Linked DNA regions of Diceros bicornis minor. The protein of the gene in region 1 interacts with the protein of each later gene in a pairwise test. Links are inferred from orthologs where the notes say so. Each region holds a gene or a part of one and is shown in the gene's direction. Other genes may lie near its edges.

The links.
Region 2: the proteins of BOLL (region 1) and ZNF385C interact in a two-hybrid assay, tested with the Homo sapiens proteins (2 studies listed by BioGRID). The two-hybrid records come from large-scale screens. The link is inferred for Diceros bicornis minor from reciprocal best matches to the Homo sapiens genes BOLL and ZNF385C.

What each region holds. Positions count from the first base shown.
Region 1 is NC_080749.1:75,568,826-75,576,187, reverse strand, and holds the start of BOLL (protein boule-like), read left to right. Parts: upstream 1-4,344; 5' UTR 4,345-4,529; coding exon 4,530-4,550; intron 4,551-7,362. UniProt on the Homo sapiens protein: Probable RNA-binding protein, which may be required during spermatogenesis. May act by binding to the 3'-UTR of mRNAs and regulating their translation.
Region 2 is NC_080757.1:41,290,975-41,298,483, reverse strand, and holds the start of ZNF385C (zinc finger protein 385C), read left to right. Parts: upstream 1-4,504; 5' UTR 4,505-4,538; intron 4,539-7,509. Other genes in the region: ATP-dependent RNA helicase DHX58, read left to right, coding at 284-474, 1,789-1,885, 2,183-2,368.

The sequences.
Region 1 (7,362 bases):
TGCTCCTTCTACTGGAGACAGATTCTTATCAGCCCAGAGAAAGGCACCAGAGGAATCTGCAAACAAACCTTGTTAAACTAACCCTTATCTTCCTAGTTACTTCTTCACCATTTGCTATCTCTAGCCCAAACCCCTTGGTCTTGTCAATTTCTCATAAATTTATTGTTTCTTTCTCTAAAACATATAAAAGCTTCCTGCTCTGTTCACTTCTTCAGGTCTTCATTCTCTTGTGAAGGCTCCCATGTACATGTAAAAATTCAATAATATTTCTATGCTTTTCTCCTGTTAATCTGTCTTTGTCAGCTTAATTTTCAGACCCAGCCAGGAACCCTAAGAAGGTTAAGAGAAACTTTTTCCTCCCCTACAGATCAAATCTAAGGATGAGATAAGAATGGAAAGAGGATAAAAATCAGCCATGTTAGTGGTCAGGAGGTGAGAGCAGGTAGGTAAGGGTTCAATAAAGGGGGACAAGACAGGGCAAACACTAGGCCTGAGTCTACAGTGGGCAATATGTTCTGGGTGATCATTCCTATACTGAAGTTTTGCTGTATGTCTTATTTTTGTATATAATAATGTTATTTGCTCTTACTGAAATATCTGAGAACGTTCAAAGGATTTTGCAAGTGAGATGTTCCAAACATACAGTCTTCCCCTAAAAAGCAACTGAAAACATGTGCATAATTATCAAACGATACTTGTGTGAATGAATCAAGAAAAAGGTTCTCTGGCGATGACTGACTGATTGTTCTTCACTCTCAGTTCAGAAGGAAGAGTAAAATGGTGAGGGGTGGGGGAAAAGTGGAAGTTGGAGTGAGGGTTGTCTGTTCATTTAGTCTCTTATTCCACAAATATTTATTGAGTTCCTACCTTATACTGCACAGTGAGTTCTATATTGTATATTCTTGTGTCTAAGTAATTGTTCAAAGTAAACAGCATAATCAAATAAACCAATTGATTTTTACAAAGAATTTTCCAATACACCAGATACCGCTCTAGTCTACACCATCTCTGTAACATACTCTCTAAGTGTTAAGTATTGTGTTCCCTGTAGAGGAAAGATCTGAACTGACCTCTTTGCTTCCTTGAGGCAGATTTTTTTTTTACTCCCATCACTCACCTCTCCTATTTCAAATATGTAACCAACATAGAGAAAAAGAAAGCACCTAATAATCCTCCAAAATACAATAGGTTAATAGACTTGGGAACAAGAAAGAAATAAGATGGAAGCAGAGGAATCTTCTAAACATGTCTTTTCATGCTGTTTTATCTACCAAGTTAAGTCACTCCCTGGTCTAGGCTATCTCTGCACCCGGCAACTCTTCTACTGCTACACAGAGCACATGGAGTTTATAAACTTTCTATTAACTTAGCTCCTTCTCCCACTAGACCTGGGCTGCTGGCAAGCAAGAACCAGGTCTTAATCCTTGCCATATCCCCTGCCTTCGAGTAAACGCTGGTCCACAGGATGGATGCCAATGGTTACCTAGGCCTATAACCTAGAGAATGCATCAAAAGGGTTATCAAGAAAAGGACTGCCTGAAATAGATACTAGGAGTTAGACTCTGTAGCTAGAAAACTCAAAGCAAGAATCGAAGAACTGCCAGTGAGTGAAGGCAAACAAGGAGAGCAGGCTTGGGCAAATCCCTGAAACAAGAACTATGCTCTGAGGAGACTGTGTGAAGCAAAAAGATGACAATGAGATTCCAGTGCAAAACTAAGAAAATGGGATATTTAGGTTTGCAATATGTTATGTGTTGTACTTTTATATTTATCTTTGTCAGTGTCATCCCCAGTATCTGAAACTTGAGACTTCTGAAGGATCCTCACCAATCCCTCTCCATCATCACTCATGCCCAACAGTCTCAGTTTCTCTCCAGTTTCTTCTTAACCCTTTCCCAGTATTTTATTCCCATTGCTGCCACTTTTTTTTTTAGCTCCCCAATACTTTCACTAGAGTAGTATTCTCCTAATTCAATTCTGTTTCCAGTCCCTTAAAAACTATTCTCTGGTCTGAGAATATCTTCCTAAATTTTGGCTCTGATTCTATAACTTCCTAATTCAATAACCTTCAATGGCCCTCTATTTGCAAAGACCTCCAGAATAAAATCCCTAGTCCTTATTACCATTGTATAAATAACATGGCAGAGTGCACTGTGCAAGGGCAGCAGAGTCAAAAAGAACTAAGTTTTGAAAATTGCATCTACCACTTACCAGCAATGTGACTACACAAGTCACTTTTACCCCTCTAAGGCTCAGATTTCCAGAGGGAGAGAGAGGGGATGAAAGCTAAGAAGATTAAAAAAGAATGTGCCACGCCCAGTGCTGGGTACATGACAGGAGCCAGACCTGTATTTCAGCCTTGATGGTGCCCTTACCAGCCCTGGACGCTGTGCTCCTCAAAGCTGTACTCTGTGCTCCCACAGACCTATGATCATAGTGCATATCTTACTTACCCTATTCTGCTTGTATCTTATTTATTACAAGCATATTTTGATATAATTATTATTTGGAGTAGTTTTTTCTTCCCTTCTAGATTGAAAACACCTCAAGGATGAAGGTTTGATCTTGCACATTGTCTTATCTCCCACAGCACACAGCATTATGTACTGCCCATAAGAGGACTCTATAAATGTCTACTAAATTGAATTGAATCATTTTACATGATTTACCCAAGTTTTAAAATAAAAAATTCCTTTTGCTTTAAGAATTAAGAGAAGCAGAACAGAGAATAACCATACTGTAAATACAGTATATCCCGCTAGCACCCAACATAGGCCTTGAAGTATAATCAATGTTCCCTAAACTGTGTTAATTTGTGTGTCGCCAACTGAACACCTACTGTGGGGAATACAGTCTTCAAAAATAAGTGTTTTTAGTCGAAAAAGACTTGGGCAAAAGAGAGGATAGTAATATCTACTTAAATCCATCATTACTACTGGAAAAAAATGCCCAAAGAAATCAGTTCTAATGGTATTGAACAGCAAAATTCTTCTGCTCCAGAATATGCTTTAATTTGAATAGGTTTGTATTCTCTGTTTCCACAGAAACTAAAACCTGAGAAAATGAGCTCAAATTGCATGCAGAAATTATGACTTTTAAGATGCTTTAGCTGAACTGTATTCAGCGGGGGGGAAAATTATGTTTCCCATTTTATTTCTGGTAAATAACATGAAGAGCTGATCTTGGAACAGATTACAATGCAGTCACGCTGCTTATTTTTTAACTCCTTATCTTGAAAGTACAATAACCCAAAGTCAAACTTTTAAAATAGAGAGTACAAAAGTTATTACTGACGTAACTTTTAACAGTTGCTACGACTGATTCTTTAAAAATATATGTCAAAATGCTTACGTTCACGAACTGTTGCCAGAGAGACCCCCGGTTAAACCTTCTACAGCTTTAGACCTTGACCAACTTACTTAACTCCAAATCTTCATCTCCTCACCTGTAAGATGAAGACAACAGGAGCATCTATCTGAGGGGCTGCTGAGGGAATGAAAAGATTAAATGATACTACGGATGAAGCGCTGCGCCGGGCACCAAGGGCGCCATTGACAAATGCTAGCTATAACCATCATCGCCATTATTACGGAAGTTTACCTAGTCGTAATCATTTACAACTGGGTTATATAATATATACGTCGTCAATATGTTATACTGGCGATATATACCATTCTCAGCTACCTTTTGAGAAATACTTTTTCCTTCAAAGGAGACCCCGAGGCTCCCGGTGGCTCTTGCCGCGCGGCCACGGCGCACAGTCCTCACCCTCGGCGCGGTGGCTTCCTCCCGACCGGCTCCGAGGCTGGGCGGCGGGCGCTGCTCCGCGGGTCCCGGCCAGGCCGCCCCGCCCGCCCGGCGGGCATGAGTGACGGCGACAACAGGTGCAGCGCGGCGTCTCCGGAGCACCCGAGTTTGGCGCGTCAGGCCCCGGGGGTCAGAGTTTGGAAACTGCCCTCGTCGCCTGGCACCAGCCTTCCGAAGTCGCCCCTCAGCCAGCGTCCTGTACCTTAGTAAAGCCTGAGGTCACCTCCACCTCTCGAAGCCCACCCGTCCCAGAGGCCGACTTCTCTCCACAGGGGAGGAGAGGGACAGGCGCGCGGCGCATGGAGCTCTGCACGAGCGCTCGCTCGCTCCTCCCCGGCCGCCGGAAAGCAGCCCAGAGGGGCCCCAGAGCCGAGCCCTCGACCGCACCCCCCACGCCCGCCCCGACTCGCCGCACGCTCGGGCCCTGGGACGGCCCAGCTCGGCGACCCCGGGCCACCGCCGAAACCGCCCGCCCGCGCCCCTCCGCGGCTTGCGGCGCCCGCCCGCCCCGCCGCGTCGTCGCCCGCCCCTCCCCACCCCCCGGGGGCAGATTCAGGCCCCGGGTCCGAGCCTGCGCCCCTGCAGCTGCTGCCGCCGCCGCCGCCGCCGCCAGGGGGAGAGAGGCTCCGTCGGGAAACGTGGTGTGGCTTCCTCGGTGTGAGGGCCTTTCAAACTTCAGGTTTCTGGTCGTTTCCCCCGGTGGCTGAGGGGCGTCGAGGAAGATGGAGAGCCAGTGCGGGGCGGTGAGTAGGCGGCCAGGGCCCCGGCCCCGGGGAAGCGGGCAGGGAGCGAGGTGGACTCCGGCCCTGAGGGGCGGGAAGGGCGAGGGCTAGAGCCCAGACGCCGCTTGTGGGGCGGGAAGAAGCGCGGACAGGGTGCCCGTCGACCGCCGCGAAGCGCGGCCGCCTGCAGGCCCGTCGGCTGTGTCGTGGGGTCGGGGAGGTGCGGCCACCGGCCTCGACTGGGCGTAGGCGGGCCGGGGGGCCTCGGGAGCGGGCGGGAGGCCGGGCCCTGTGCGCCAGCCGATCCGGCGGGAGAAACAGCTTTCCCGCCGAAACCGGGCTCGGCGGCGTCTTCGACGCTCGCTGCAGCCAGATGCCGCCCCCCGCGAGGGGTTGCCAGGGCGGCCGACGCCCCCTCTCCCCTACTGGTCAGTGGGGACCGGAAGGCCTGAGGGACCTGGAGGGACCACCTGTGGCCCAGGTCGGACCGCACACTCCACCACCGGGTGCGCGCCGAGCTGGTCGGGGCCGGGGGGGGGGGGGGGGGGGGGGGAGGGGCGGGAGGCCGAGCAGGCCCGAAGGGCCACGGCAGCGTGCCGCCGCGCCCCGCCCCGCGCCGCCGGCAGCCAATCAGCGCGCACCACACGAGCGCCGCGGGGTTGGCTTCGCACAAGGCCGACGTCGGGTCGGTGCGGTTGAGGGTTCCCGACGCTGGTGCTGGCGGGTTCGCGGGGCAAAATTTCTCGCTGGCTAGCCTTCTTTTCCCTCCCGCACTTTGGTGGGGAGGGGGTGGATCCTCATGTCAGTGCCCAAGTTCATGATGACCTGAGGGAGCCGGAGGAAGTTGTCGCCGCGGCCATTTCCACCAGCGCCTCAACTTGGTGGCCGCGGAGGGGAAGGAGCGCCGAGGCTGTGACCACGACGGTTAGCCCGCCCTCTTGCCGTTGTTCTCGCCGGCGAAGTAGACGATAGACTTCGAGGTTAACCCTCAAGGAGAGGAGGCAGAGAGGGACATTACTTTGGTGGAAATTTTTAATAAACTCTTTAGGGCTAGAAGTTTTACTGAGCTAAGGACGCTTAATTCTGACCCAATAACAGCACCTGCCTGGGTGCTTTTCATACATTTGCAGAGTTATTGCCAGTGGAATGTGAGGCTTGCTTTATTGTTTAACTTAGTGCATCGCTAACCTCCGAGGGCCTTAGGTGTTGGCTCTACCTGAGTCTTGTTACTGCTAACATTAAATACTTTCGAGGTTGTTCCTGTTGTTCTTCAGCCCGCTGCCTAATGCTTGGCATATCGTGAGCAGGAGGAAATGATTCATTCGTTTCTTCATTCGTTCAGCAGATATGTATTGGGCACCTGCTATCTGCCGTCGCTGCTTAGATGCTGCAGCGATAAAACAGGCAAAATCCCTTTTCTCATGAACATTACTCTATAGAGACAAACAATTAACATAAGTAAATTACATAGTATGTTGGAAAGTGATAAGTGGTAAGGAGAAAAATAAAACAGTTGGAACCCACAATAGAGCAGGAGCTTTAGAAACATGAGAATGAAGTGAATTGGATGTAAAAAGTTGATATTTTTCTTTTCTCAGTATCGTTTAACTAGTTTCTCAAGACTGGAAATAAAGCACTCCTTCACTTCCGGTCACGTCATCCCTCTCTCAATGAAAAATAATGAAGTTGACTTTTATTTAAACAAATTTGAGAACAAATGAGTTCATCTATTGAACTCATTTTTTTTAGAAGAAAATTTCATGAAGACTGATTTTTTTTTAATTTTGCAAATAGGTAATTTCTACATTTTCTGGGAAAGCAGGCAGAGACAAGATTATAACTACCAGAGCTGTTCTGTTGCCTCTAGCAGTACAAATCCAGGGTTGAAAAATAAGACTAATCGTCCCAGGATCAACCATTCTGGGCACTATGTCCTACATGTAAAGTGACAGAAGTTAGAGATTACCTCCAAATGCCCAGAGAGGATGCTGTTAAGATTGGATTCCCAATTTCTTTACTTGGAAACTACAACATAGCAATTATTAAATGTGATGACTTTTCTGTGGTTTCGTGGATGTTTTTATGAACTCCCTTATTAGGGAGTGTTTTTCCCCCTTAATGCTAGGTATGGAATAGAGCCCCTAAGTCCAACCTGTAGCCCCATAGTCGCCACTGGCCTAGTCATTTCTCTGTACATCTTGCAGAGATTAATTTAGGGATTATGGCTTTACTGGCCAGTGAAGTGAAAGGTGAGAACAAATGTGAAAAAGAACAACTCTGTTACCTAAGTTGGAAATTCCTTTTCATGTATTTGTTTCTCAGATAATTGAAATTATGAACTTCAGACTTTGTGAAGCACTCATTTAGTATGTTAGACTGCCTCAGAAGTCTGTTTAGTGTTCCTGGAAGGAAAATAATTAGCAAGTTCTTGAATTAGATTCTCTTCAAAATTCTTTTCGCCAAGTCTTGTTTTTTTCCAGATGTACCTTAAGAGTCTACTATCTTGCCCTTGTGTAAAGGCTTATATGTTAATATATACTTATTAAAATCTAAATTAGGTCCTTAAAATTGTAAACAGTGAATATGTACTATGAGCTCAATTCTTTGGTATAAAAATTTATACCTATGAATTAAAGGAGTATAATTTGTTTTTACAAAATCAGTCCGATCTTCAAATTGACAAGTGCATTTAAAAATTTGACTTTAGAGCTGAAAAACAGTGAACTTGAACATCAGAGTTTGTTAACTTGTCAATGCCCTTTAGCCAGAGACCACCCGGAACACATCTGTAGTTTGATCAAGTTGGGTCTGTTGAATTGTTGCAACAAGGAAG
Region 2 (7,509 bases), on another chromosome or scaffold:
TTTACTCCTGTTGTCTCAGCATAATTACTAACGATGCTCCATGTTAGATTCAAAGAAGCAGCTTTGTACAAAATCCTCCAAAGCAGGGGCAAAGATTCAGCAAGAAAGCTTGCCCCACTACCCCTCCACGGAGCTGCTTCTAAAAGCTCCAGGGAGGGTTGAGGAAAGTTCCTTCTGGGTACTAATGATCTGAGGTCTTTGGGAGCCCTTTGTCCCCCCAGGAGCATTCCTGGGGGCCAGTGTCTTGGGCCCCAGCCATGCATAGTGTCCTCTCCCACCCCAGATCCGGGATCTGCAGCGGGCAGCTGTGGTCAAGCGGGCAGCCCGGGCAGCCCAGCAAGAGAGTCGGCGGCAGCAGTTCCTGGCGGACCAGGTGCAGCTCCTCTGCATCAACTGCATGGTGGCCGTGGGCCATGGGAGTGACCTGCGGAAGGTGGAGGGCACCCACCACGTCAACGTGAACCCCAACTTCTCGTGAGACCTGCGTAGGGGCTGTCAGGATGAGAGGGAGGGAGGAGTGTGAAGGGGGACTGAGAATCCCTCCCAACCAGACAGTGCTTTGAGAGTTTGGGAAGTTAAAGAGCAATTTTTTTTTTTTTTCCTGAGGAAGAGTCGCCCTGAGCTAACATCTGTGCCGGTCTTTCTCTGTTTTGTATATGGGTCACCACCACAGCATGGCTGACGAGTGGTGTAGGTCTGCACCTGGGAACCAAACCCGTGAACCCAGGCCGCTGAAGCAGAGAGCACTGAACTTAACCACTCAGGCCATGGGGCCAGCCTCAGTTAAAGAGCATTTTCACAAGCACGGAGTTTGCACTTTCACGATAGTCTGGTTAGACAGGTTTTATCACCACTCCATTTTACAGATGAGGAAACAGAGGCTCAGAGAGGCTAAGTGACTTGCACAAGCTCCCACGGCCACTCTGTGGTTGAGCAAGAGCTGGAATTCAGGATGCCAAATGCTGAGGGGCCAAAGCTGGCCCCGTGGGTCCTACCTACTCTGAAGACATCAAGAGGGGCTGGCTGTCCCTGAGCCATCCCCTCATCCTCTACCCCTAGAGGGTAAGCTTCCCCCATCTTCTCTCCATTCATTCATTCAGTAAGTATTTATTAGGCACCTACTGTGTGCCAGGCCACTGTGCCAGATCTTCACACAGGTTCTTTCACGTGAGGAGGTAGCATTTCGGCTAGGTCTGGAAGGGTGGATTGGATTGGAATGTGAGATGAGTATAGGCGGAGGTGATGCGACAGGAATAGTTCTGGTGGACTTGAGTGGAAGAGACTGTGAAGTGTGAGATTCTGAAGGAAGACAGACCAGCCTGTGGAGGACCTTAAAGGTCGGGCCTGAAAGTTTAGCCTTTATCCTGTCGGCAATGAGGAATCTTGGATGGATTTTGAGCAAGGGAATGTCAGGGTCAGATTTACATTTTCAGAAGATCGCTCTAAAAGGTCACTCATTTTAGAAGATCAGCTGGCGGAAGGGTGGCATGGGGTTGGGAGTAAGGATGGAACGGGATGGAAGGATGGGGCAGGGAGATCCGTCGGGAGGCTGTTGAAATCATCCAGGCGGGGAGTGCTGAGGCCTGAACGTGGGCAGGAGGGAGTGCAATGGAGGCAGCACAGGCAGAGCTTATTGAAGATCGGATTTCCTGGCCCCGGGAAGTCTCCGGGCCTCTTGACAGGCAGAAAGGCCCAAGGCCCAGGCAGAGGCTCAGCAAGCAGAGGGCACGAGGCCTGGGGACAGGGCGGGTGTCCATGGGCGCTGTGGCCCCTCTCCTTCCTCTCCAGGATCTACTACAAAGTCTCCCAGCAGCCAGTGGTCATGGACAGAGCCTTCAAGGACTGGAGGCCTGGGGGCGCCATCAGCTGCGGGAACTGTGGGGAGGTGAGTGCTGGGGCCGTGGCCCTCAGCTCCAGTGTTCAGAAGCCTGTGTCTGAGAGAGGAGGCCCAGCCTCTGCCATCCAGGTGCCCCCACGGGCATGGGGGGGGGGGCAGCCCTGTCCCAGGAGCCCCTAATCTGAGGAGAGTGGTCCAACCCCTGTCTTAGGGAGCCCACAGTGTGATAGCTCTCAGTCTGAGGTGGGAGACATAGGCCTTGCATTCCTGGACCCCAGCTTGAGGATTGAAAAGCCCAGTCCGAGGACAGAGACCCACGCCCAGCTGTCTCTGTCCCTCCCCCAGGCCTGGGGTATGCAGATAATCTACAAGTCAGTCAAGCTGCCGGTCATCAAAGTCTGCAGCATGCTGCTGGAGACCCCGCAAGGGCGGGTCCGGGCCAAGAAGTGGTCCCGCGTGCCCTTCCTCGTGCCTGACTTCGACTACCTGCAGCACTGTGCCCAGAGCCTGTCGGACCTCTTCCTGGACTGACCACCTTGTCGCTGCAGTGCCCGGCTCAGGCTGCAGGGGGCAGGAGAATCTGCAGCAGCCACCATCTTCCCCTGGGCAAAGCCTGGGTCCCGGCCCCTCCTGCCTGAGTCACCAGCTCAGGGCACTGTGCTGACCAGCCACAGAGGAACCCCAGGAGCCCAGGCTGGCTCAGACTGCCACGCTGAGGAAGCTGCTGGAGGGCCATAGCTCATCCCCAGACCCCACTCACACCACACAGACACTTTCATACACACTGGATGGAGGGGAAACTGAGGCAGGACAATGGCCACACTGTACTAGGAATCAACACAGCTTCTCTTGGCCCCTCAACATTCCTTCCCTGCCAAGGCTACTTCTGTTTTTTGAGGCTCCCCATAAAAGTAAAGAAATGGAATATTGGTGTAGAAAATGTGTGGTATTTTAAAACAGATTTGTTGAGGTATAACTGACATCAAATAAACTGTACATATGTATCTATAGTGTCTAATTTGATAAGTTTTAATGTTTACATGCTCCCCCCCAATCAAGATAATGAACATAGCTGTCAACCTCAAAAGTTTCATTGTTCCCATTGTAATCCCTCCCTCTTCCCTCTCCCCGTCCACTGATCTGCTTTGTGCTACATTTTTAATGTTAAAAGTTTTTTTTAACACCCCACTTTATGGCTCCCATGTAACCTTATTTGGAGAGAGCATCAAAAGTCTAAATTTGAGAGCCATCAAGAATGAGGCCTTCCTGCCTCCTACACCCCGTAATAGGCTCCAACCCCAATGCCCCCCCCCCCTTCTACCTTCTCTTAATCCCCAGGTCATCTCCCCTGGGCTGGGGAGAGGCTGAGAACCAGGATTTGTGGAGTGGGGTCCAGGTAGGCATGGGGGTGGGGAAAGTTGTAAAGGCCTAAATTTTCTGTTCTCATTTTAGCAGGAAAGAAAGAAAGGAAAAGTAAGGCAAGATCTAGGTTGATTCTTCAGGGAGAGGGCTATTTCTGTAGTAAGAGGCCCAGCAGGCAGGAGTCACCTTCAAGAGCAAGGGAGGGGGCTAAACAGAGATTTGAGAGCAGGATGGCAGTCCTTCCTGCCATCTAACCTCCTTCCCTCCTGCTACGTCCTTGGTCCTGCCTCAGGGTAGATGGGAAATAGTGCTCTCTCCTTCTCCCAGCATCCTCTTTCATCCGTCCACCACCTCTTGTCCGATTGAGGGCTGAAATTCCAGATCGTCTTTGGGCCTCCATCCCCGCAGAGTGGTCCCCTCTTGCCCAGGGCCCTTATTCCTCCTAATCTCTAGTGTCCCTTGGCCCTGGCTCCAGGAGTCACCCTTCTCCTCCCTCCTGTCCCATCTCCACCTCCTGGGGCCCCTTCTTTGGCCCATCTGCTCCCCACCTTGCCTTCAGTTGTTCTCTCCTCTGCCAGTAACATGCCTTTTGCAGTTCAATAAAATTAGCGACTGGGGGCAGAAGAAGCGGGGCAGGAGCCCAGGGGTGCTAAGCTCAGTGGCCTTGAATGCGGCTGGACACACGGAGTCCGGACGCCTGTCATTCCAGGGCTAAACAGTGACAGCTGAGGGACCTGAGCTGGTGTTGGGGGCAATGGGGCAGCTGTGTTGCAGGGAGAGATGGACTGATGATAAAGATGACCTGGGCACCTAATGGTCTGCTCAGTGGCCTGAGCCCCTAAATACACAGCTGACCCCTAGATGAGGGACCTTGACTTTAGAAGGGGTGTCCTGTCTGGCACCCACCTTGCCAGGCTGGGAGAGCTTTCTTAAACTCAGATGGAAGGGGCAACTCAGGCAACGAGGGGTTCCCGGGGTTTCCACTTCCAGTGAGGGGGTCTTCATATGGAGCCACTGCCTCCAGGGCATCTGGGCAAAGCTGCGCGAAGGAGGGGATTTTGTGAGGTTCTCAGGACCCAGGCATGCTAACTTACCAGCCTCAGAAAAGCCAGAGCTCCAGAACCTGCCTAGCGACCTAGATGCTCCCCGCTTTCTGCCCACCTGCATAGGCTGGCCCGCCCCACCCGGCTGAGACTCAGAGAAGGGCTCAGCCGCGGCTCCCCCTCCCAGGCCCCGCCCCCGGGCCGGGCCCCGCCTCCTCCCCCGCCAGCCCGAAGCCGCTGCGCTCCGGAGCGCGGCGAGAGCAGGTGGCGCGGCGGGCTCGGTCTCTGCCCCGCAGGTAAGTCAGCGACGAGGGCTGGTCCATGCTGAGGACCTCGAGGGCAGCGCGGGAGAACAAAGCAGCCCCTTCCACCTGTCCTGTGCCCTCGTCTCTAAACTGGGGGACCCTAAAGGACAGTGAGGACATCCCTATCGGCTCTGCGCGCCGACGCTGGGCATCTAGCGGGTGGGACTAAACTCTGGAGAAGTTTAGAGGGTCTCGGCTGGCTATGCCCGATGCCGGGGCGGGCTCCGAGGGATGGGAAAGGACAGAGCCGAGCATTGGGCGCGCAGCTTTCTGGAGAAGGGTAGGTCGGGGGTGGTGACTGCAGGGCACCGGGTAACGAGCCTCATTGACTCGGCTGTGTTTGCCTCATCCAAGTGAGGAAGCATCCTACCCCCTCCCTTAGGAATGATGGAGTGACCCAAACGGTTTCTGTTCTGTGGGCAAATGAGGTAAGAGCCGCTGCCTAGCTGAGCTGGGTCCTGGGTTTCCTGGTGAGCCCCAGGGCACCTGCATCTTGCATTTACACCTGGGTACTGATGTGCCTGGGTGAGGGAGCAGGGGATCCTCCCAATGGCCTGGGGAACCCAGAGAGCCTGGGGACTGAGTAGATCTTCTCTGTGTCCATGTATCAGAGCCAAGTGGGGGAGGTGATCACAGAAGTGGGCCTTATAGTAGATGTGGGGTTCATTTGCACCCTCCGTGTTTGGATTTGGGCTGTAGGAAAAGGGTCCTGCCTCCTAGGACCTTAAGGAAGTCTTCCTGGAAGAGAAGATCCTGGGCTGACAGCTTAGATGTGATGCATAGAGCTCTGAGCCACAAAGGAGAGTCAGATTTTGGGCCTTGGTGCTGGGTTGGGGTAGAGCATAGGACCCAGGACTGTAGAACAGAGGGAGGTCAGTATGCTGCCATCTGGATTCATCCAGGACCCCATGGACTTCCCAGGGATCATCACAAGCCTAGGGACAGACGGAGATCCACCTCAGGTGGGAGAGCTTCCTGTGTCTGTCTAGTTTCCCCATTCCATTGTCTCCCTCCATCACACACACTATCGTTGTCAGGAAGTTCTGTCTCATATCTGACCTTCATCCCTTCTGCTTCTGTGCCAGCTTCTTGCTTCTATGTGCTATAGTCGAAACAGCGGGGGCTTTGGGGTTAGTTAGACTTGAGTCCCATCACCTGTGCTTACTGTGTACCCTGGGGCAAATTACTTAACCTCTTTGAGCTCGCTTCCCCACCTGTAAAATGGGGATAATAATAGAACCCACCTCATAGAGTGGCTGCAAGGATTAAATGAGAATACGCACGTAGAGCGCTTAGCCCAGTGCCTGGCGCCTGGTGAGGGCTCAGCCAGTATAAGTGTCCCCTCATGTGTGGGACAGCAAAGCCGGTCTGCGGGAGGGGTGGTGGTGGAGGGGGTTGGAAGTTTTTTTTAAACTTGGCTAGAGAGAGCAATGCCCTTCACCACTACCACCCCCCCAGCCCCTGCCCCCTGCTGGTCTCTGGATCTCCGCTGGTCCTGTCTGGGCTGCCCAGGGCCCCTGGCCTCCTTCTCTCTTAGTCGCCCTGTTTTTTTGTCTCCAGGGTGAGCAGAGGGGACCCAGCAGGGCAGGGACCAGGGGCAGCAGGAGCCCACTTGGGGCTGTGCCTCTGGGGAGCAAATGGGCTTAGAGACCCAATGAGAAAAAATGCCCGGTTGTCATCACCTCCCTGCCCTCCCCACTCCAGAAATCCACAAGATGGGATCAAGCCACACTAAATTTTTCCAGGAAGATAAATAATACAAGAGATTGCAGGTCCTGTTTGGGGATTGTCCAAGCTGCCCTCCACTGGAAAGACAGCTTCAGTCCCTGGCCTGAGCTGGGAGGCTGCCGGGGAAGGCTGGGTCTGGAAAGCACTCTTAAACCTGGGCAAGGGAGGGTGTGCCCGTGCCCTCGCTGGGCGCTTTCAAGGGCTCCGCTCTGGCCCTCCTCTGGCTGTCCCTCTCCCTGTGGGGTGAGGAGTCAGCAGGGCCAAGTGGATGAGCTTGTGCGTCCCCTTCAAGACCATATTCTCCAGACCTGTGACTCTGGAGCTCCCTGCCCAGATGGCCACCAGCTTGCTCTCAGCCCATGCCAGCCTCTTCCCTGGGCCGGTTCTCCTCAGGGCAGGTTATGCTACTAGCGTGTGCACCCCCATACCTGAGGAACGACTGAAGACAGCTAAGGGGCGGCTGTTTGCTGGGCGTGAAGGTGGAGCTGGGATGTGAGGCTGGGTGTCCACATACACGTATGAGTCCCTTGCGGTGCAGAGAGTTGCTGGCAGTAGCAAGGGAGGTTGTTGGCTGGCGCCAGGGTGGGAGTGGAACTCTCTCTCCCTACACAGCCCTGTTCTCCTGCAAAACTCCCAGGAGTCAGAAATCTAAATTGGAATCTGGTCTTTCTGGTCGTTATGAAAGTGTATTTGTCAAAGTGGGAGCTTAGGACATATTTTCCTTAACAGGTTGTTAGCTCGACTTATAACTTTTAAATATTTAGACACGTGTATGTGGGCCCCCGTTTGTCCTCTTGCCCCAGGCCCTGCAAAGTTAGGGATGGGCCTGGCAGCGACCGTGACCCAAAATGCTATTTTGGTGAATTCCCTTCCTGTTCTCCCTTTCCCCCAGTGCAGTAGCGCCCCTGTAAAATTGGGCTTAGGACACACCCACCCGGACCAGGAAGGAGTTTCAAGGTGAAATGAAGGCTGTCAGCTGTCACCAACAAGCGGTTCCCCCTTGGGCCTCCTGACCTCATTCTCTACCCCAAAATTGGGACAATTTTTTTTTCAAATGTCCTATGATGCTTAAGAGGGAAGGGATGAGGGGGAGAGAGGTTGCTTATCTCCTGAGTGTGGGGAGGCTGTGGGCTCTCGCTGGACCCAAGGAGCAAGGAGGGAGCCAAATGGGGCTGCAGCAGCAGGAGGGATGGAAGTTAGACTGGGAGAAGATCAGGGCTGGACCCCACCATCC